Linked DNA regions of Rattus norvegicus. The protein of the gene in region 3 interacts with the protein of the main gene of each other region in a pairwise test. Links are inferred from orthologs where the notes say so. Each region holds a gene or a part of one and is shown on either strand. Other genes may lie near its edges.

Region 1 (7,807 bases), on a different chromosome or scaffold from region 3:
GTTTGTTCTGGGGGGTGTAGCACTGCATGTGTCTGTGACAGAGTATGTCTCTGTAGCCAAGCCAAGCCCAGAGTTTGTTATGTGTTTGTAGCCCACTCTGGCCTTAATTTCAGTGTCTGTCATCCAGAGTACTGGGATTAGAGGTGTGTACCAGTCCTCACAGCTCAAAAGATCAAGCTTAAGAGTCTAATAACCTCTACAAGTAGGATTTTATCAGAGTTTCTTCTCTGTGTAGCCCATACCGTACCAGGCTGGCCTTAAACTCAGACCTCTCTGCCTCTGTCTCCCAAGTGCTGGGATTAAAAGTGCTGGGTGCACCAGTGAAGGCAAGAACAAACACCTGGGGTGTCCTTCCACCTTCTCTTAAGTTGCCATAATGACCTAATACTGTTGTGTTTGGGGAAAGTTGGTGACCATACAATGTAACACATTTAACAAGAGAATGGGCCACTGACCTTGCTTGACATGAAACTGTCCTCAAGTATACACACAAGCAAAGACTCACACACATCAAAGAGACACTTTTAAACAAGTTGAGTTCAAGGTCCACTGAGGGGGTTAGTAGGCAAAGGTATACGCTGCAAAACCTTCTGACTTGAGTTCCATCCCAAGACCCACACATGGTAAAAAACAAATTCTGGAAAGTTGCCCTCTGATCCCCACATGCATGTTATGGTGCATGTACCCCTACCCCTCAAACAAACATTATGTAGTTAAAAAAAAAAAAAAAAGAGTTCTGGAATTCTTAGTTAAATATCACCTTTAAAAAATATCCTTACTTAAGGTATAGAAATAAAACTAAATAGACAATCAAAAGCAAATTTTTGACCAAAGTGAACTAGATAGTGCACTAAAAGTTCTTGATATACATTTGAAATTAGGTATGAAATTCTTCACTTAAGAGCAATGACTCTAACTCCTAGAAGATATCTGATGGCTAGACAATCGTCTTCTTTAAGCACAGCACACTAATCATGCAGAGCCACCTACCATTTATTAGAGCCAAAAATCCTTGGTGCTAGAATGGGAACAAGGTAGTCAGCCAGGCACAAAAACATGACAAAACAGGAAACACCGGACAGCACAGATGGATCGAGATAATAGATAATCCTATTAAAAACAAAGAAAATTAACCAAGGTTAGAGAACCACAGTGGTCATTATTCCTAGTCAAAGAGGTTCACTCTTCACCCTCAGCTTCTCAGAGATGGTGCTGTTTCCTTTCTAATTTCCTCACAAAGGGTTTTCTCGAGGTACCACGGCATGATGTTGTCACAGTTAAAAAAGTGCTTAATGTAAACAACGATAGTCAAAAACTCTGGAGACCTCAATATTTAGTAGAAAATAATATAAAGCAAGAGTGTTGAAATAAGAGTTTGAGTGTCTGGAATTTATTCAACAGTATTAACTTACAATTTTACATAAGGACTACAAATTCTAGAAAGTGGGCAAGCTGCTTGAAATAAAGGCATTCCTCTTGGATTATGTAGTACAAAAGCTTCTCTAAGCATAGGCTATGAACCCTCGGAGCATTTAGCAATAGAATCTCTCACTTACAGGAACAGCAGGGAGACCACACCCATAATGGCAGGTGGAAACCAGGCTCTTTCCCACCGAAGGACTTTGTCAGCCATCAGCATCACTTCTCCCCAGCCTTGCAGCTGCTCTTCAAGACTTGCAGTCTCCACGGCCTACGCATGACCAACAGTGTTACAGTGTCACTTCCCCAATCTCAACACTTTGGTGGCTCAAGTGAGTAAAATCTTTCTAAGTCATCAAATACACATAAAATGCCTTTAACAAAACTGTTATCTTAAACAAGGTGAGTCATGAAAAACTGCACTTTTGGTACACAAACATGAAAATCCGTGGGCAGGAGAAAGCATAGGCTTTAATGGTCACTTTAGCACTGGGACACATGTCCATGATGTATCATCATACTGCCAAGGTTTCACAATGTATTTCAATATTCATGAAGGTGAGCTTAATATGGTTAACCAATATCCCCAATGTACCCACAGAGCCATGAGGCAGTGCTCAGAATATTACTAAATTGAATATTCTGTTTGCTCATTTCAGGTGGTTGGCATTGATCTGTTGATTGGTCAATTTATTGATTTAAGCCCTTCTAAATCCATCAGGAGAACTTTTCCCTTAATACTAAATACATAATAGTATTTATACTATTAATAGTATAATAGAATAACTCTGGTATTGGCAGTCACTGTGGAATTAAAGAAAACTATTCTAACCAAATTATGTGACCTCAGCACTTAAAAGTTCTCCATAATGGCTTCTTCTTGTTAATGATGGAATTTCAATTAAATCTCAAAGTTTCTCTGCATATGCGACAACCAGTCAAAAGCGTACCTTCACCATGGGCTATTGTGGCCTAGACCTATCAGGGACTTTAGTAAAGGAAGGAAATTAGAACCCAGCAGTTGCTCAGTCTGTGCAGAACCCTGGATTCAACATCCAGGAACCACAAACACACAAAGCTCAACCGATACATCAACTTTTCACAAAGTAGTATGCAAATGATAGTACGGTTGAGGCTAATTTTAGTAAAGATGAAATATGTGACTAAGAACTTCTGACGTCACCCCACACTAGAAATTCTTAACCTTTTACATGTTAAACTTCAATTAATGCTCCTCAAACTGGAAAAGGTATTCTTACAACCTCTACTTTAAGATGAGGAGACTGAGACACAAAGAGGCTAATATATTTAAATCCAGGAAACATAAGACTAATGGCCTTGCTCTCCTTAAAATGATACTGCATTGATGGAAATAGAGGCCCTCTCCTGTGGGAGTTTCCCTGTACAGCAATTAATCCTCTTACTGGATTGTTTGTTGGTGTATGTGTATTGTGTAGGGTAAGATTTAGGATGCAGGGCAGGCATCTCTATTGGATTGTTTGCTTATGTACTGTGTGTGTGTGTGTGTGTGTGTGTGTGTGTGTGTGTGTGTCTGTGTAGAGGGAATTCAAGGATACAGGGCATTCACATTTAAACACGAATACAAACTGAAAATCTTGTACAATCAAAACTGTCCCAAAGTCACTTGTCGGCACTTAGGCTCTCAGAAAAAGTGAAAAAGCTGATTAAAATCTGATTGCTATTTTCATTTCTGATATGGTCTGCCTTTTCTGGGGAATGACATTACAGGGCGGGGGGAGGGGAATGATCTTTCGTTCTTGCCTACGTGCAGTTTAAAATTTAAAACAGGGCCTGGTGATGCTCAACTGTAATCCCAGCGCTTGAGAGGTGGAGACAGGAGGATGACAAATACAAGGCTAACCTCGATAGGTCAGGATACACGAAAACCTAGCCTTAAAAAAACAAAAACAAAAACTTGTAATGAAGCAAACATGCCCTCCTTTAATACCATCTCCTGCAGCTCCTTCAAATCTGTGCTAATCGGGGTTGGGGATTTAGCTCAGTGGTAGAGCGCTTGCCTAGCAAGCGCAAGGCCCTGGGTTCGGTCCCCAGCTCCGAAAAAAAAGAAAAAAAAATCTGTGCTAATCATTTTAAAGTTGCAACCAGTCCGGTGAGTCCCTCGTCAGTTCCCAGACAAGTGCCAGGATCTCCCACTGTCCTTTCCGCATAACCCGTTTTCAGCTTCCTGCGGTGAACTCCAACCAAGCAACTCCAACAAATTCTGTGTCAGCGATAAACTAATTCTCTGTAGCAGCCCTTTGACCCTCCATCCTTGCGCCAAGTTTTAGGGAAAAAAGAATCATGATTAAAAATAATCTACGAGGGGCTGGGGATTTAGCTCAGTGGTAGAGCGCTTGCCTAGCAAGCACAAGGCCCTGGGTTCGGTCCCCAGCTCCGAAAAAAAGAAAAAATAATAATAATCTACGAAACATGAAATTAAGATCAGAGGGCAAAACAGGTAGGTCTCTCCGGCCTGAGCCGGGAACGCTAGACAAGGCCCCTTGCGGCCGAGTGCCCCAACCTGCTACCCAGGTTCCTTCTTGCCACAGACCCCTTCTCACATTTCCACACTCACGGTCCAAGCCTTGTAGTGCACGCTCCCCGGGGGACGTTGGGGATCGGCAGCAAGGACCACCACCGTGGAGATGGGCAGGGAGTCCCAGGATCAGGCCTGGCTGCCCCTGTAGTTCACCAAGACCAGGAGGTCCATCCGGGAGCTCTGGAGACAAACTGACCACTGCGACTCACCAGCAGGTTGCTGCTGCGGTTATCCCCCTCGGCCATCGTTCCAGACGCACGGTTATCAACGAGCGCGAACACACCAAACCCAACACCAGCACGGTAACCCGAGCGCGGGGGGGAACGCCCCGCAGGCCGCTTATATAGGCTCGCTGCCTTTCCCGACAGCCCTCGCGAAACTCGCTCCTCATTGGATAGACCGCACTCCGGCTTCTGGGAAGCCAGGCCAACCGGCAGCTAGCGCATGACTTGAAATCCAGGTCAAAGGAGAGTGAAGCTGCGCGGAGCTGAAAGACTCTGGCCAATCAGAGTGCAGGGGTGTGGCCCGCGGGAGGCGGAGCGGAAGGAAGCGGTTCAACCGCCGTCGCTAGTCTCTCACCCAAATCTTCCTGAACGTTTGTGGCCTCTCTACTCCCTACCTGTCTTCTGCTGTATCTCAAAGGCGCCGAGGGGCCTGTCTGCTCAGCTGAGTAGAGGATGCGCAGTGGCATCCTATGCGGAGGCTAGATGGGCAAGGGACGCTTTTAGGTTCCCGTGGCACCTGCTGACTGGAAGACAAGCGTCCCCATGTGAGCACCTGTGCCTAATGCTGCTGCCTTTTCGCCAACAGTGTTAACAGGCGTTTTGAGAACACGAAAGATGCACGAACTCTTAAAGGGCGTCATTTGCAGCCAGACTTTGGGGGAATCATTTGCGGGGCGCTTCACTTGATTGATTTGAGTACTTCAGGTAGCTAGGGGAGCGCTTCATTCGGAGGGATGGATGGGTAGAGGAACAATTCAGATGATGGAACGCTTCGAACTGATTAATGGGTGTTATGGGGAAGCCATGCTAAATACGGACTTCAACTATCTTAGATTTATATTCTTTAAAAAATAAAATAAATAAGCAAATTACCAGGTTCTTTAAAGTCCCTGGAAGTTTAAAAGAAACCTGAGAGACCACATAGTGAGCCCAAATAAGCCTGGTCCTTTCTGGCCCACGGTGGTTCTATCAAAGGGGCAATTTGTCAGACGTTTTGACCAGCAAAGCAGCTCAGAGTGTGTGTGTGTTATGGGGGGTGGGGGTGGGGGTGGGGGGTTATGACTCGGCTGATAAATCATATCGAAAATTGTAAGGCCTGGAGTTCCCTCCTTCGCCTCCTCAGTACTGAGAACAAAAGGACCAAAACAGCTGAACCAAGCTAACCTGGTACCAGGAAGTCACTTTCTAAGAGGACAGAAGAGTAAAAAGAGGGTTTTTAAAATCTGTCACTTCTACCTTGGTAACTTGGCTACTGCTTCAGAAAGCTTCAAGTTTAATCGGTGTTCCCAAAGTAAAATTTAAGATTAAATTTAGGACAGCCCCAGGTCCAAATCCAGCTCTCACTGACCTTGCAAATTGGCCCAAGGGTTATAAACATCTTTTTTTTTTTTTTAACACAAAGAGGAGTGACCTTTGAAATGTGTCAGATGATGAAGCCCGTTACACTAATCTTCCTCAGAACTTTGGCATAGCAAATGAACTCTTCCCAAATATTCTTTTCATTTCTTTCACTCAGAATAAGGGTCAAAGTTTTGTTTTAAATATTGCTAAAACTGAGCTTCATACATTCTTTTGCTATTCGAGACAGGGTTTCTCTGTGTAGTCCTGACAGTCCTGGTACTTGTTTTACAGACCAGGTTGGCCTAGAAACCAGAGATTCACCCATCCTTACCTTTGAATGGCTGTTCAAAAAGGATTTTTTTTTTTTTGAGATCTTTAAGATTTATTTTATGTATGTGAACACGTTGTCACTGTCTTCAGACACACCGGATCCCTTTACAGATGTTTGTGAGCCACCATGTGGTTACTGTAAATTGAGCTCAGGACCTCTCTCTGGAACTGCTCTTAACCTCTGAGCCATCTCTCCAGTTCTTTTGAGAGCTTTTTAATTTGGAGAGATAATAGGGGGGGAAAGTCACAAAATTGTATTCCAAAACAAACTTTCTGGGATCCACTTCAATAAATTCAGAGCCTAGATACTGTTATCTTGAACCTTTATTTTTTGAAAAACAGGTATTTCATACAATCTTTACCATGTTAATGTAAAGTAGGCAGGTGTTTTGTTTTTCAAAAGATGCATTATGGACATTTTCAGGAAGCTGGTGTTATTTACTCAACTTTTAATCTTAAATACAAGCACAAAATTATATCCATCAGAAGGCATTACAACTTAAAAAAAAGCCACTGTTTGTACAATGTTACTAAGACAAGGAAGATTCAGTTCAACTCAACTTGTTCTTAAATAAGGGTTTAAAAAAAGAACACGATGTCATTGCCACCTGACATTCCAGGTGGAAACTTAAGGGACTTGTAAATTGGAAAAAATAACACAGAAATCTGAAACAGGAGCTAAAACACACTGTCAGAAAAAGGGAAAACCACCACTGCTAATCAGCCTGTTTTAGAAAAATAAAATGTTTCAGGACTATATCCAATTCTTTACCATCTTCAAATATCCAGCTGATTTGAGGTTTTAACATTAGCACTAGAACTTCCCAGTGAGCCCCAATTCTCAAGTTTTCTCTACATGGCTGCCTTTTCAAACCCAAGCTGTTTGCTTTTTGTAAATAAACAGTGATGTTATCTAGGCCCAAAAGCAGGCGAAGTACAGTAACTGCCTCCTCTTAAATCTTTGCAAAGCACTGTGATGCTCACCAGTACTTGTTAGGAGGAATCTATCCTATCCAGGTAACTGAAGATGGAGTCTTCAGTGACTAGTGCATTAATTTTTGCCTCCTTGATTGGGGGGTAGGGGGTGGGGCAGGGTTCTAAATTACTAGCATTTTTATAAAAACAATGTTGGTCTTTGTCCGCATCTTGACACATGAAACAAAGATGCTTCAGGGTGCTAGTTCTAAGAGCTAGGATGTATGTAGCTCAGGGTTAGAAAGCTTGCCTAGCATGTGCAAGGTTCCATCCCTGCACTGCAGGAAATCCAGCTAATATTAGCAGCACAGCACTGACATCTGCTGTGTATGAATAGGAGTAGCAGGCTAGTTGTAGGTGTGTTCATTACTAAGAAAAGATTGGGGGAAAAGAAGAACCAGCTCCTTTGATTTTAGTACTGCACAAGTAAGCCCCCGAGTAACTACAAAAAGGTGGAGGGAAATAGGCCAGGAAGACTCTGATTTAAAGTACTGCCTATAATACCCCAGATTAAAAAGGACCTAAGACTGCACATCAACTCTAATATTTGGCTGCATTGCCCTGCTTGGCATTTATTAAATGGCTCTTTCCTTAAATTTCACACATCAGAACAACCACAATTAAAACGAAAAAACAATGCAGGTAACATCAAACACTGGATGATATTAAGAAATCTAATGAAGCTTAGATATAACAGAGGCAAGTGTTAAGGGCAAAGTGAAGGGAGTTTTTCCTTTGTGTTACAAATTCTTACCCTGAACCTGGGATTTGAGCTCTGAATCAGTGATCTAATAAAGTAGATCAAGATCTATCAGTTTCAAGTAGAAATCTCACACCTCAAAAGAACTCACTACCAGTGTCAAATCATCTAGCAAACTGCATGATCAGCTCATGACCATAAACAGAAACAAGACACTTTGGTAAAGAAACAGCTTCGTAGGTACTAGGCTTCAGCTTG
Region 2 (7,707 bases), on a different chromosome or scaffold from region 3:
AGATACTCAACATGTGGAAATGACAGTAAGATAACCTTTTTTGGGGAGAGAGAAAATGCTGGGAATCAAAGACACCTAGACAAGAGGTGAGAGAGTCTTTTGTTAAGAGGCTCAAGGGCTATCTATCCTGTAAGAAGACTGAAGCTCAGGGTACTAGTGGGGTTTTGGAGCATGGACTGGCAAGTCAATCAAGGCCAGAGGGGGCAAATTTGGCAAGCCATCTGTCTTTGTGGAGTCTGAATAAAGTTTTATTGCAACACAGCCAGACCTGTTTATTTGTTTAACATCTGCTCTCACATTGCAGTAACAGAGCTGAGAGGCTAGCCATCACCTAAACGGCCTAGAATGTTTACTAGGTGTCCCTTCGCAGAGATTGTTGGCCTATGTTTTACAGTCACTTTATATTTTCGTTGAGAATATTACCATACCTAATGGATCTAGATTTAAGTCCCTTCTCAGCTATTCTCAGCTTTGGTACTTGGCTTTCCTTTATCTATCACAGAATGAGGCTCACCCTTAGAGTTACATGGAATGTGGCTGGAAAGTGCTCAGCACAGACTCTGGCACTAAGTAAATACTCAACAGGCCTGGGCCACAGCTATCAAACTAGTGGAAGCCTAGGTGAAGGACAAGGCAGACTCAGTACATGGGGACCTAAGAATCTACAATCTATACACAGCACAAAAATCAAGTATCGAAAAAGTGCAGACGCCAAACCCCGACACTACTGCTGAGGCCAAGAAGGGCTTGCTGACAGGAGTGTGGAATGGCTATTCCCTGAGAGGTTCTACCAGTACCTCACTAATATAGATGCAAATACAGCCAACCATTGGCCTGAGCCTGGGAGCCCCAATGGAAGAGCTAGGGGAAGGGCTGAAGGAGCTAAAGGGGATTGCAACCCCATAGGAAGAACAATATCAACTAACCAGATGCCCCAGAGCTCCCAGGGATTAAACCACCAACAAAGAGTACACATGGAGGGACCCATGGTTCCAGCTGCATATGATGGCCTTATCTGACATCCATGGGAAGGGAGGCCCTTGGTCCTGTGAAGATTTAATGCCCCAGTGAAGAGTGATGATGTGGGACTGGATGAGTGGGTGGAGGAGCACCCGCATAGAGGCAAAGGGGAGTGGGCATTGTGGAGGGGAAACCAGGAATGGGAATATCATTTGAAATGTAAATGAATAAAATGATGAATACGTTTTTTAAAAAGTGGCCTTTGAAAGTCCCTTGAGGAGCAGGGAGGAGCACATCACAAAAGATTGTCTCCCAGGCACTCCAGCGATACTAGGTTTCCCTCCAACATCTAAAAGGTCACTGCTCCCCCAGTCAAGACCCAGGCGCCACACTGTGTGTAGGGCTGGGGGAAGAAACTCCACATAGTAAACATGAGCCATTGTGCTGGGAAGATCACACTGGGATGAGCTGAGGAGACCAAGGTAAATTGTGAGGACAACAGCTTCCCAACTCCAAATCACCCTGCAAGGTAGGCGTGGCAACCTGATAGGTGAGCCTCTTCCCTGTTTACCTCCCTTCCAACCCTCCTAAACTTGGGCCCCATTTGGCCTTTGTAATTTAAATAGACACCCTCTTAGAAGAATTAGTAAGTGCCCAGGAAGCTACTCCAGCTCTATGGGTGATGGACTAGGGAGGGTAGCAGTAAGAAACTCTACTGTAAATGTGTAGCTGATATGCAATGTCTATGGGCAACTGTGAGGGACACCTGTTTCTTATAATTTGGCTTCTAGATGTCAAGTGGGATTATCTCTGGTTATCTGTGTGAATCCCCCAAATGACCAAGATTAAGTTGTTCCATTGACTTGTATTTACCTTGGAGAAAACCAGTAGCTCATGAGGCAGGAGACCACCACATAGGACATCATGGTTATCCCTGACAAGGCAAGCGATACGAAGCCCAGGCCACAGAGGATGCAGAGCAGTGAGAGACCACAAACAGAGATGACCAGGCCTAGGAGGAGAGTGTGGTTAAGATGTGCCTTCATCTGAAGCAGGCTGAGAATGGGAAGACCCAGCCCAGGTTATTTAAAATACTGACAGCTGACTCAGATATTTTGAAGTCAGCAGATTTCCCATAAAAAATTTACATTTCTGACATTTAAAATAGTTATATAGTTCAACACCTGAGTAGGCCTCAGTTTCTGGCATCAACTAGCTGGACCTCTCTTTGCCTCGTTCCCTACCGTTGATAAACTATATTACACTTGGGGGTCTCTCTGCTCATTTGGTTGCCAATTTAAGGCTCAGAAGGAATGAATTATGTCTCAGATTACAGTGGTAGTGAGGGATGCACACAAGAGCCTGTGTTTTAACCCCTCTGACAAGCTGCCTTGGACCAGAAAGAGGAGCCTTTGATGAGAATGGCAGATGGTCAATAAATACTGTCCAGCTTATTGAGTTACTTCCCAGTTACCTTGGGTAGAGTGAGTACCTTCCAGTAATATGGCCCCCATAAGAGCACCCAGGGAGGTGAGCACCACGATGAGCAGGAAGAAACCAACAGGGATGGCTGACATGGTAACAAACATCAGCACGGTGAGAACCAGGAACGGATGCCTGTCCAGGAACCGGCCCACTGGGGACTTCATAAAGGCAACCACCTGTGGGCAATGGATGAGGAGCCAGGGTTAAGTGCTGGGTCCACATCTCAGGTTGAGTTGATCGGCCCCAGCTGTGGAAAGTACAGCCAGCATCAGAGGCCTCTGGCAAGTCAGAGGCCCATGGGCATCAGTACAAAATATCTCCTAAGACATGAGGAGCTTGCACCTGGCAGCATAAGAGGCAGCTGTGGAAAGGGTGGCAAATGTGAGGTTCACCCACAAGTCCTGTGGGTGAAAGAAAGGTACTACTCTCTTGCCTAACACACGGCCTCTCAGAAAGACACCCTCTTATGTGTGCAATGTATATACAATATGCCTACTGTTCCTCAGGTAAGATTTTCATGGCTGAGGTTACCAAGGAACAAAAGGATTAAGTCCTAGATGTTTAGCGTCACTCAAGTGCTTAATGGAGATGTAGAACATTAGACCCCACCTGGCATCTGTTGTGCCCAATCTCGTTTTCCACATGATTTGTGTGTATGGGGAAATTCAAGATGCAATGGACTAAATGCTTTATTTGGAGTCACCCAGTTTCCAAGCCTGGGTATTCAAAGCTAAGATCTTTGACTCCAGATGCTAAATGCCTGCAGTGGTTTGCCACCACATCAATGCTTTTATGGTACAAACTGGATGTTTTGGTGGGCCACACAGCCTGATGATGATGACCATGTGTTATTTTAATAAACAGGCTACCCTACTTTGAAGACTAAGGAATGGGAAAGCAAACTCCGTGGAGAAAGCTACCCAGCACACAGCGGATCTTAGGATCTTAGTCAACCCCCAGAGGATGAGCATCCCGCCCACTTTTCAGGACTCAAAGCTTTACTCTCCTCATTACTGGCATTGAGGCTCATTTCTTCAAAGATCCCATCATTCAAAAACCTTCCTCTAGAGAAGTAACCACCAATCCAGCTACAAAACCTGCAGTGTACAACCGTGATCTGTCTGCATGACACCTAGGTACAATAGTGGTACACATGCTGTGGCAGTAACCACTCTATGGCTGGATTAAGGCTCACTCCACAAGATGGAGCCCATGCTTGACCCTGCTCTCATGACCAAGAACCTAGACTAGATAGGCCACGGGCCTTGAGGAAAGCCAAATACTATTGTTCTGCTAAAGGAGCACAGCAATAAAATTACTTCTAACTACATTCTACTACACTCACAGATCAGTGCTTCACTCAGCTACCATGAGAGAAACATCCTCTTGCAGTAGACTGGAACTAATGCAAAGACCCACAGCTGAAACATGTACAGAGAATAAGAGATATTGGAATACTCAGTCTTAAATGGGATGTCTTAGCTAAGCTCCTCCTCCCAGGGTTCAGGGAGCTATGCAGAAGAGCTAAAAGCCAAAGGGGATGGGAGGCTCCAAGGAAACAGTGTCTTCCAGGCACAACAAGACTGATGCACACATGAACTCAGAGATGGGGAAGCATGCACAGGGCCTGCATGGGTTCAGGCTGGACAGCATCCCAACACTGAGAGGGGTAGGTGGGTGCCCTACCCCACAGCATGCACTGCGACAGCATGTGTACCACTATTGTACCTAGGTGTCATGCAGACAGATCACGGTTGTACACTGCAGGCTTTGTAGCTGGATTGGTGGTTACTTTTCTAGAGGAAGGTTTTTGGATGATGGGATCTTTGAAGAAATGAGCCTCAATGCCAGTAATGAGAGTAAAGCTTTGAGTCCTGAAAAGTGGGCGGGATGCTCATCCTCTTGGAGGAGGAGGAAGAAGAGAAAGAGGAAGAAGGAGAGGAAGAGGAGGAAAAGGAGGAAGAAGAGGAGGAAACCAGGATGAAATATATTGTATGATGAAAAGTTTTTTTAATAAGAAAAAACTGTTCGGAAAAAAGTGGAAGCTGAAGTGGAAGGGTGGGCTTCCTCCATCAAAAGTTGGTCTTTCCTGTGTCTTGCTCCTTAGGGCATTGGAGGCCAGTGGCTATTATTGAAAATGCCTCTTTTCCCCCAAAAGTTCCACCAAAGAACTACTAAGCCTGATAAACAACCTCAGCAAAGTGGCTGGGTATAAAATTAACTCTAACAAGTCAGTAGCCTTTCTCTACTTAAAGGATAAACAGGCTGAGAAAGAAATTAGGGAAATGACACCTTTTACAATAGTCCCAAATAATATAAAAAATACCTTGGTGTTACTCTAACCAAGCAAGTAAAAGATCTGTATGACAAGAACTTCAAGTCTCTGAAGGAAGAAATTGAAGAAGATCTCAGAAGATTGAAAGACCTCCCATGCTCATGGATTGGCAGGATTAATATAGTAAAAATGGCCACTTTGCCGAAAGCAATCTACAGATTCAATGCAATCCCCATCAAAATTAATCTCAATTCTTCATAGAGTTAGAAAGAGCAACTTTCAAATTCATTTGGAATAACAAAAAACCCAGGATAGCAAAAACTATCCTCAACAATAAAAGAACTTCTAGGGGAATCACCATCCCCGACCTCAAGCAGTATTACAGAGCAATAGTGATAAAAACTGTATGGTATTGGTACAGAGACAGACAGATAGACCAGTGGAATAGAATTGAAGACTCAGAAATGAACCCACACACCTATGGTCACTTAATCTTTGACAAAGAAGCTAGAACCATCCAGTGGAAAACAGATAGCACTTTCAACAAATGGTGCTGGTTCAACTGGAGGTCAGCATGTAGAAGAATGCAGATCAATCCATTCTTATCACCAGGTACAAAGCTTAAGTCCAAGTGGATCAAGGACCTCATCATAAAACCAGATACACTCAAACTAATAAAAGAAAAAGTGGGGAAGAACCTCCAATACACGGGCACTGGGGAAAATTTCCTGAATTTCTCAGCTGAGGAATATTGAGTGGCTGAGAAGTACCTAAAGAAATGTCCAACATCCTTAGTCATCAGGAAAATGCAAATCAAAAAATCCCTGAGATTCTACCTCACACCAATCAGAATGACTAAGACCAAAAACTCAGGTGACAACAGATGCTGGTGAGGATGTGGAGAAATAGGAACACTCCTCCAGTGTTGGTAGGATTGCAAACTGGTACAACCACTCTGGAAATCAATCTGGAGGTTCCTCAGGAAATTGGACATTGCACTACCTGAGGACCCAGGTATACCTCTCCTGGGCATATACCTAAATGATTCTCTAACATACAACAAGGACACATGCTCTACTATGTTCATAGCAGCCTTATTTATAATAGCCAGAAGCTGGAAAGAACCCAGATGCCCTTCAACAGAGGAATGGACACAGAAAATGTGGTACATCTACACAATGGAGTACTACTCAGCCATCAAAAACAATGACTTCATGAAATTCATAGGCAAATGGAACTAGAAAATATCATCCTGAGTGAGGTAACCCAATGACAAAAAAACATACATGGTATGCATTCACTGATAAGTGGATATTAGCCCAAAAGCTCAAATTACCCAAGATAAAAATCCATAGGCCACATGAAGCTCAAGAGGAAGCACGACCAAAGTATGAATGCTTCAGTCCTTGAAACGGGGAACAAAAATATTCATAGGAGGGATAAGGAGACAAAGTTTGAAGCAGAGACTAAAGGAATGGACATTCAGAGACTGCCCCACCTAGGTATACAGCCCATTTATATATAGCCACCAAAACTAGATAATATTAATGAAGCCAAGAAATGCATGCTGACAGGAGCCTGATATAACTGTCTCCTGAGAGGCTCAGCCAGAGCGTGACAGATGGTTTGCTAGCACCAAACCATTGAACTGAGAATGGGTTCCCTGTTGGAGGAATTAGAGAAAGGATTGAAGGAGCTGAAGGGGCTTGCAACCCCATAAGAACAACAATACCAACCAAGCAGAGCTCCCAGGGACTAAACCACTAAACAAAGACTTCTCTGGATGCGGATGTAAAGGTCTTTCAGCCCTCTGGATTCATGAACCCAAGTAAAACTCTTTCCTCAGTAAGTTGCTTTGATCATGGTGTCTTATCATAGCAATAGAAAAGTAACTACAACAAAACTGTTTAACCCAGGAATTGCTTTCTCTGAGAGAGAATGGTCATGGTCAGGTCACAATGTAGGGGAAAGAGATGGTTCATCCACATCTAACACTTATACCCATTAAACACACATTCCAGGTAAGCCTGTCCCAATAGGCTTCTGTCTGCCAAGTGCAAAGCCAAAGTAAGCATGGCCAAGAAGGCTTGCTACCTGCAGCAGGTGAGGAGAGCACAGGAGCCATTTCCAAACCAAGACTTTCTTCAAACAAAGGAAGCATGGGGTTTTTAGTCAGAGAGCCTACACATATCCATATAGGGCTAAGTGTGGAGAGCTTTGGGGACACTTGTAGAAACTTGGCAGGAATTTGACGTTGGGCCAGGACATGGAAGTAAGTCAGGCAAGAATCTGATTTTGGGCTAGGATCAGGAAATAGGCTCAGATTAAGAATATTTACATTTGGGCTAGTGGGTCCAGCCAAGGCGTGTGTGGCGTTCCTTTTGTCTCTGTCATCCTGATAAGCCCCATAGAAACGTTGTTTATGGGACTTTGTTCACTGCCTTGTTTGCTCCCTGACTATTCGTGTTTATTGCCTTGTCTGTTTCTTGACCTAGAACTGATCTCATTATTTTGCATGTACTTAAAATGGTATAAAAGCAGAGTGTGAAAAAATAAACCTGCCTCGGCCTTGTAACTGGTTGGGGTCGTGCTAGTGTTGTCTAATTGTCTTTTTTCTTTTTAATCTTCTATCTGTCCTGTTGACTGACTGAGCTGGCTTGAGCTGGCTTGGTCAGGTAAGCACACTCCAGAGGCATGCTCAGTTCAAGTCAGAAACACCAGACAGTCATAAACTCCTCTGGGCATGCCTCCTCTGTGTGTGTGTGTGTGTGTGTGTGTGTGTGTGTGTGTGTGTGTGTGTGTGCTCATTTGAGTGCCATGTGTGGGCAACACATTTGAAGTCAAAAGATAACCTCAGTTGTTGTTCTGCCAGCAGCACTAGCCAAGTTTATTCTGAAACAAAGTCTATCACTGGCTTGGGACTTACCAAGTAGGCCAGGGGGGGCCCAGGGATCCATCCACCAGTCTCCGCCTCCTGACGCTCACAA
Region 3 (7,807 bases):
CTGCATCACATAGTCCTCGCAAGAAGGTCTGCAAAGGTATATTCAGTTGCTGAGTAGAGACACAACAGGCACATCTCCCGCAGACCCAGCATCCCAGGTTAAGTGAGGCTGGAAAAGGAAGATTGCAACATCTAGTTGTTTCCAAATCCTTTCTTTCTGTCTAGCCTTTTTCAGTCCCTCCACATTTAAGCAACAAAAGAGAAAACTTGTACCAAATATCCTTCTTTGATTCCCCCCCACCCCCCACTCCCCCACCCCCCTCTACGGAGATTTCTGGGTGGCGTGAACAAGGAATAGGTAATCCCACAAAACCTTGCAGTGGGCTATTCTGGAGATTTTGGCGTGGGTCTCCTACTTTAGAGGGGAAGCTATCAGTCTTGGTTCCCAGTCTGCTGCCTCCTTTGTGAACTAATGACTGTAATTATTACCTCCCAGAGCTCTTTTGTTATCAACAACCAGGAGCCTGGGGGGGGATGGGCCCTTTGGGGAAAGGGGAAAAAAATTTACAAAGCAAATTGCTGTCTAGGAAGGGTTGGAATTTTTTTAAAAAGACAAACCCAATTTCAGCCTGTATCCGAAGTGGGGAGTGGCAATGTTTTTTAATGTAAATATCATTAGATTTTTTAAAAAATTCTCAGAGCTGTGGATTCAATTGCATTTCAACAGTACTGCTTTAAGTCACTATTTTTGACGAAGTTAAATTCAGATGTTGAGAGTCTGTCCTCTTGTTTTCATCCATTTCTCCCTTGTGAGGTGTGTGTGTGTGTGTGTGTGTGTGTGTGTGTGTGTGTGTTTATGAACCATTTTATTTCTGACCACTCATCCGTGGTAAAAAGCTTCGACCCCAGCCAGCTGGCTTGAAGAGAGAATTATTTGCAGGATTTGGTATGGATTTAAACAAAGACCCAGGCTCTCCAAGTCCTGTTGGCAAGGCTGGGTGGAGAGAGCGCCCAGCATTCCAGGAGATGTTGCCTCTGCCAACCGAAGTCACCAGGCCTGGAGTACCCTAAAGATTGACCAAGTTAAGGCGTAGGGTCAAGATGACTACCTTCCCTCAACATGCTCCTGCTTTTGGCTTAGAGACGTGCCTGGGTAGCACCTCAACAGGGTCAATCACACTCCCCACGCCTCCCTAGTCCCGCGACTTCTGTGGGCATCCACTATCTAGATCCTCCCTGGCCGTCAGGATTCTGGCAACTGGGAAGAAGTAAAGCTTTGGGGAGAGAATGCACTTGGAGGCCCAAGACTAGGGCTTCTGTACAGTTACCCGAGGTCTCAGGATCCCTAACAAAATAAGTGATCCTGGTCGCCAAAACCAAGTAGGGTCCCTGCTCAGGCAAGAGCTTTGGTGCCTTTTTTGAAAACTCAAAAGAAGGAACGAAGAAATGCTGTGGAGACCAGGGAGACTGCAGCCCCTTGCTCAGGGAGCGCAGGAAAGGAGATCCGGATGGCTGAAAGCAGCACCTTCCCGCTAGTCTTTCTTGAGCTATGTGTAAATCGGAAACCAAGGGTCTAGTATAAGCAAGCCAAAACAAAGCGGAGTCTGAGGGCCCCACATCTTCCTTAAGGCGCTGTCGCGCAGTTTATGGGCCTTTAGGGAAGAGAAAACAGAAAGGATTGTTTCATTCCTTTATTAGAAAACACAAACGAAACTACTTCTCTCTGGGCCGGGAAATTGCCAATCTTGCGTTCCTAGGCACCTCCTGACCTTAAGGACTCTTCTGGGGGAGGGGAGAGGTCAGTGGTTTCAGTACTCCTGAAACTACCCGAGTGCCTTTTCTCCTGGAATTTGAAAGTCTGGTTTGCTTACTTCGAAAACCCCTGAATCCCGCCTAAGCACAGGTGCATAAGCAGCAAGCCAAGGTCACCAAGTAACCGGATCCCCTCCCCCATCAACCATAAATCCTGTGGTCTGTGTCAGCTCTCCGCTGCTCCCTTTCAAGAAGTTTCTGTTCGTTTTATTTATTTAATTTTTCCCAGCCTGAGGTCCTCAGTGATAGACTCCAGCGTGGATTTTAATTGCTTCAATCAGCAGTCTTTCTCCTCAGCCGTCAGTCAAAACCTGGACGGTGGGTCTGGGGACTCAGCGCTTGACTGCACAGGAAGTGGACGACCCCCCCAGGCTGGCTCAGCTCAGTAGGCAGACGTTTTTAGGCTCGGCTAAGGAAGGAGATGAAATGAGTCCGTCTGCGTGGAAGCGATACACCTTCCTCCCTCTTTGGTTCCTTCCCCGTGCTCTGGAGCTCTGCCTGATTGCGGCCAGGTGGCCTGGGCTCTTGAGGTCACAGCGACCTCCGCACGGGTTTGGAGGAAGGAGGGTGCGAAAACCGCTTTTGCTCGGCCGGCCTCAGCCAGAGACAGCTCTCAAACAATGAGCCAATCGCTGCACATGTGAAGTCGCTTTCAGTCACCCCCCAAGATTGTCAAGGTCTCCCTGGTGCCCAGGGTCACCGAGGCCAGCGTGCAGCGGGCTGCGGTAGCACCCTGGACAGCGCGTCCCGGCCGAAGAGGACCTGGAGCGCCTGTGGCTGGGTCAGCGCTGCGCAGGCACGCCTCCCACCCCCGCATCTGACTCGCGCTCGAACGCACAGCCTCGCACCTCACGACCCAGCTCCTCCATTTCCCTTTCGTCACTCTCTGGTCTCCCCACCAAACTCCTCTCCCTAAAAATTCTCTTGGGTCCTTTCCACTTTCCAATCTCCAGACTGCGAGGATCAGGCTACTCCCCCATTTAACCACCGCGCAGAGCACAACGGCTCGTCCCTACGCCCTGACTCGAACACTCACACGTACGAGCACTGGCATACGCAGACAGCACGTTTCCTGTCCCTGTGTGACACCCACCCTCGTCGCGCGGCTGCTCCAGCCCTCGCGCGGTGCCCTCCTCCCGCCACACACACTCGCACACGCACGCAGGCGCGTGCAGGGTCGAGCCGAAGGCAGCTTGCCCGCAGCCACTCGGAGGCGACCAGCGCCAGACTAGCAGAACCCATGGCATCTCCGGGCTCTGGCTTTTGGTCCTTCGGATCTGAAGATGGCTCTGGGGATCCTGAGAACCCGGGAACAGGTAGGAAAACCAGAACCTGCAGCGGGAGAGCTTTGTGGATGGATTAGGGTTTGCCCGGCTACGCAGATGATCAAAGCTTTGACATCTGCAACAGGAAACTTATTCAGGCGCTTCGCCTGGCTCCCTGGGTTAAGTCCTTAACTGTGCGAGAACCCCAACCCCTCCCCTCAGCCCTTTGTCCCCCTGGGAAAAAGCCCAGGGTTGTCTCGGCCCCTTCCCCTAAACGTAGGTTCCTAAAAGACTGCTGCATCTGCTGTCATCGGAAACCTGAGCTTTGCTTAGGGACGTCTAGACCCCGGGCAGGGAAAGGCAATCTAGGAACCGGGTAGAGTTTAGGGTCTGAAAGGCAAGCGCGGCGAGAAACAAACATCCTCGGGTCTAGGAAAGCCAGCCCCGGCGCGAACAGGGAGGGTCTGGAAACCCGAGGACCTGGCGAAGAAGTGCAAAGGGCCGCGGTGTGGACTGCTTTCTTTCTGGGACACGACAAGATGAGGGCTGGTCCCGGCGCCAGGTTCCCTCGGGCTCCCCCACCTGCTGAAGGCAGAGTCGCTAGCCCGTGGCCGCTCTCGAGGTTGGCGCCGGGTCCCCAGACTCCGGACTCGGAGACCTGGTTCACTTAGAACGAAATTTCTCACTCCCCCGTCTGTTCTCTTTCCGATTCGCTTTTCCCTGCCTGGCGATTGCAGCGAGAGCCTGGTGCCAGGTGGCCCAAAAGTTCACGGGCGGCATCGGAAACAAGCTATGCGGTGAGTGGTGGCGCGGTTGGAGAGAAGGGCGGACAAGGTCGGGGGCGCACGCTGGCGGGATCAATGCCGCCTGCTCCGCTCGGTGCCTGCAGCCTATGTCGGCCCAGTCCCTCGGTTGCGGGTGGGCGGGGATGTGGGAGCCGGGACGGTCAGGGGCTGACCTAGGTCCGGCGCTCCGTGTCCTTGTCCAGCTCTGCTCTACGGAGACTCTGAGAAGCCAGCAGAGAGCGGCGGGAGCGTGACCTCGCGGGCCGCCACTCGGAAGGTCGCCTGCACCTGTGACCAAAAACCCTGCAGCTGCCCCAAAGGAGATGTCAATTATGCACTTCTCCACGCAACAGGTAAAGAGGTCGGCTGGCCAGAACCGCGCTCCACCCCGCGGACGTCTGTCCCCGCCAAGTGGGTGACAGAATGGGGTGGGGGTGGGGACTCTGAGAATCTTTCCCGGAATTAGAAGGATGTGGGGGTCTGTGTGCTGGAGTTGTTCCAAGAACGCGGCCCTGGCCTTCCCCAACCCGAATCGGAGACCACAGTGCCCTGCACTGGAGCAGCCTCAGATAGAGTCGGAGGTGGCAGTGGCAGCGGTGTGCGCCACAGTAGGCTTCTTGGTGCTGCCCCAGCCTCTGGGTAGCACAGATTTCCAAAATGCCCTGGGAAGTACTTCGGAATTGCAGGGAGTTTTAGGTGTTCCTTTGGATCCAAAGTAGTTTGTAACCGTTATTTCAAAGAGGAACGATTCTGTTTACCTGAGCCCTAGGCGCTAAATTTTACCTACGCATTCATGACTCTCTGGCTTCCAAACACTGCGTGAACTCGCGCACACACCCACACCTCCTCCACACACACACCCCAACTTTGGAAAAATCTGCCCTTCAAAAAAGCCAGATATCATAACTTGGCATAAATCACTTTTCCTGGTTTGCTGGAAGGTATTTCTCAAACATTTCGGAAGTGGAGTATTGACAAACCATTAAGATGATTTACTCAAATAGACCATTTGGGACAAACGCTTGTGAAACGGACAAGCTGAAACACTCATCTTGGGGAAAAAATTAATCAAGCAACGTAATTTGTTACAAATAAAATGCAAAACTTAATTCCGGGAGGTTTTATTTGCTTGTGTTTCTGGATGCTTTGGTTTTGTTTGAAACAGGGTCTTCTCTCCCTAACCAGATCTGGTCTCCGATTTCCAGAGATCCCCCCTTACTTTAGCGTCCTGAGCACATCAAATCAGTTCAAAGCAAAATTGCCCGTTCACTAATTGCCAGGGTCTTTGTAGTGACACCTAAAATTCCGTTCCCATTCCGTTCTTCAGACCTGCTGCCAGCCTGTGAAGGAGAAAGGCCCACTCTCGCATTTCTGCAAGATGTAATGAACATTTTGCTTCAGTACGTGGTGAAAAGTTTTGATAGATCAACTAAAGTGATTGATTTCCATTACCCCAATGAGCTTCTTCAAGAGTATAATTGGGAATTGGCAGACCAACCGCAAAATCTGGAGGAAATTTTGACGCACTGCCAAACAACTCTAAAATATGCGATTAAAACAGGTATTGTGCAACCAGTAATAATAAAGCTATTTTTTCCTTTTGCAATTTTATTTTTTCCCTATAAAACCGTTTTTCTTATGGTGGGTCGTGTTATTTCCAAAATTGCAAAGTTACATTGGCTTAAAAATAGTCATTATTGGAGTGATTCAGAGGCACCTTTCTAACAATAACCGAGCCGTAGTCGGGGTATAAATTATGAGATTGGCAAGGAGATTAATTGGAGGTTGTAGGAGCAACCATTTGTCAGCAGGGGCCAGTACCCAAAATGAAGAAAGAAAGGGAATGTTGAAAGGGATGCTGTAAAGACTAAAGATGCGATCCAGTACACCTGAACTGCATGTGCTGTTGTCAATTTTCTCCACCTGGAACTAGTCAAGAACCCCTGCTAACCAGCCTGTGCAATCTTCAGGCTCGAGGGAGAATGCTGTAGCATTGTTTCAAAAGACTTAATTTTAGATTTCAATTCCAGTTTTTCTCCTGGTTTGAAAGAAGTATGGAGGCGCGCGCACGCGCACGCACGACCCGCTCCCCCCCACCCCCCACCAATGCTTAGCAGCCCAGTAGTATTACTCAAGGATTTCTCTCCTTCGCTTATGTGGATAAGAATACCCGAATTGTTTAAGGGTCCATTTAAAGATGTGTGTTAGGGTCTATTAGAGTCTCACAGCCTCCTTTAAAACTGGGTAAAATGATGTTGTAGTCCAGGGGCAACATCATTCGTACCTCCAGAGCTTTCTTCCTCCCAGGTCCTGAGTGCCCTGCTCTTTTTCTCTACATTGTCTCTAATCATCTTGATACATGGTGAAACAAAGTAAAGTGATAAATATGAATACCTTTATGAGGTGGAGGAGGGAAGGCTTATGGACTTACAATGATTTGTAGACGTAAAAAAATGTGCTAACGAATGTGAAATATTAAGTAGGCATGGGTTACCATGCAAACGTCATGCTTTATGCTGCCATTTTTCCGGTAGTTTATTAGTAAAACAAAGGACAAACATTTTAAGAATTTTGCTACAAAAATGGTTTGGCCTTTTTTCCCCTGAGCATTCTTTATATGATTAGAGAAGAAAGATTTGCATAGACGCCTTGGAAAACTGATTTATTGTGTAATTATAATCCACTTTGTAAGACTGTAGACTTGGAAATAGAGTCGAGCCGAAATGAGCTGAACTTGATTTCCAGGGAGTATAGACATCTTTTAAATATCGTCAGTTAGTCCTCCTGAAACACCAACAGAATATACACGCCAAGCATGTGAGATACTCTGCTCCCAGTTTCTTTGCATGTACCCACCAACCGAAGCTTGAGCCATGCTTTTAATCTGTCTCTGCTTGACCCATCCCCCACACCTGACATTTAAATACGCTAATGGCAAAACTTCCTACCATTTGTTTATGCTGCTCACAAATAAAAGAGAACACGTACTTTTTTTTTTTACCTCTTTGTTTTCAAAAGCTGCCAGCTAGTCTTCGAAATGCAATTTAGAATTAAGATAGTGGGAATTGCCAGGCAGTGGGAGTAATAGTTCTATATATCGATGCTCCACCATCGGGGAATAAATGGGTTCGTTAAATTATCAGATTGTTGCTATAAGTTTTGTAAAACTGTTAGTCAAATGTTGCTGTGGTGCATCTCATTTAAAGTGAAGATTAAAATCTATTAGATTAAGATGAATATCTCAATATTACTGATGCCACGTTTTGTCTTCTGCCCTTATATCCTTAAATAGCACTTAAAAAAAAAAAAAGCATGCATAGGCAGCCTTTGTCTTCAACGGAAAAGCTTGTAGCTTCTTATACTGTTAGTGTCCTGTTTATCAGCTGACACTACCTAGTCCATCAAAGCAGTTGCACTCCCTGTCCCCATCCAGTATTCTTATGATCCTTTGAAGATCATTTTATAAAATGTCACCTGGCCCCTCTTAATTTAATTTCCGTCTGGCCTGGAGCTTTATAAAGGATTGAAGGGCAGTGGAGATTTTTAAATGAGACGTCTATGTCCTGTTTAAATCACTTGTAAAGAAGCGGTAGAACTAGAAACTTCCATGGGTGGTAGGATTCTAGCACGGTATCTGCAGGTATTTCTTCCTTTATTTGTGGTAGCTGGGAGGCATAGGTTCATGTTAATGTAGTCTCCAATCTTTAAGAGAAGCCTTAGACAAAGGAAACTGAGCCCAATGTAAGAGGCACATTCTTCCGTGGGTTGTCAGTTCACAAAAAGCAATTTTAGAGGACGTCTGGCTTCTCTTCATCTGACTGGAGACTACCAGGTCTTATTTACCAGGTGCTAGTTTTTGCACATCTTTTAGGACTCATGTGCTAATCTGTGCATGAGACACCCTGTGCTTGGAGCTCGCTCATCCTGTTCAAATCACGTGGGCCCCGGGCCCCCGCAGGATTCCAGCGCTGCTGGAACTACCGACAGATTCAGAGGCTGCTTCTCA

Evidence for each region.
Region 1: the proteins of Gad2 (region 3) and Arl6ip1 interact in binary tests that used the Homo sapiens proteins (3 or more experiments, as listed by UniProt). The two-hybrid records come from large-scale screens. The link is inferred for Rattus norvegicus from reciprocal best matches to the Homo sapiens genes GAD2 and ARL6IP1.
Region 2: the proteins of Gad2 (region 3) and Ldaf1 interact in binary tests that used the Homo sapiens proteins (3 or more experiments, as listed by UniProt). The two-hybrid records come from large-scale screens. The link is inferred for Rattus norvegicus from reciprocal best matches to the Homo sapiens genes GAD2 and LDAF1.

What each region holds. Positions count from the first base shown.
Region 1 is NC_086019.1:181,869,954-181,877,760, forward strand, and holds the start of Arl6ip1 (ADP-ribosylation factor-like protein 6-interacting protein 1), read right to left. Parts: upstream 4,280-7,807; 5' UTR 4,225-4,279; coding exon 4,189-4,224; intron 1,691-4,188; coding exon 1,557-1,690; intron 1,111-1,556; coding exon 991-1,110; intron 1-990. UniProt on the Homo sapiens protein: Positively regulates SLC1A1/EAAC1-mediated glutamate transport by increasing its affinity for glutamate in a PKC activity-dependent manner.
Region 2 is NC_086019.1:183,923,302-183,931,008, reverse strand, and holds part of Ldaf1 (lipid droplet assembly factor 1), read right to left. Parts: intron 2,622-7,707; coding exon 2,453-2,621; coding exon of another isoform or gene 2,435-2,452; intron 1,973-2,434; coding exon 1,834-1,972; intron 1-1,833. UniProt on the Homo sapiens protein: Plays an important role in the formation of lipid droplets (LD) which are storage organelles at the center of lipid and energy homeostasis. In association with BSCL2/seipin, defines the sites of LD formation in the endoplasmic reticulum.
Region 3 is NC_086035.1:89,668,800-89,676,606, forward strand, and holds the start of Gad2 (glutamate decarboxylase 2), read left to right. Parts: upstream 1-2,918; 5' UTR 2,919-2,991; coding exon 2,992-3,067; intron 3,068-3,753; coding exon 3,754-3,813; intron 3,814-4,004; coding exon 4,005-4,154; intron 4,155-5,128; coding exon 5,129-5,362; intron 5,363-7,807. UniProt on the Homo sapiens protein: Catalyzes the production of GABA.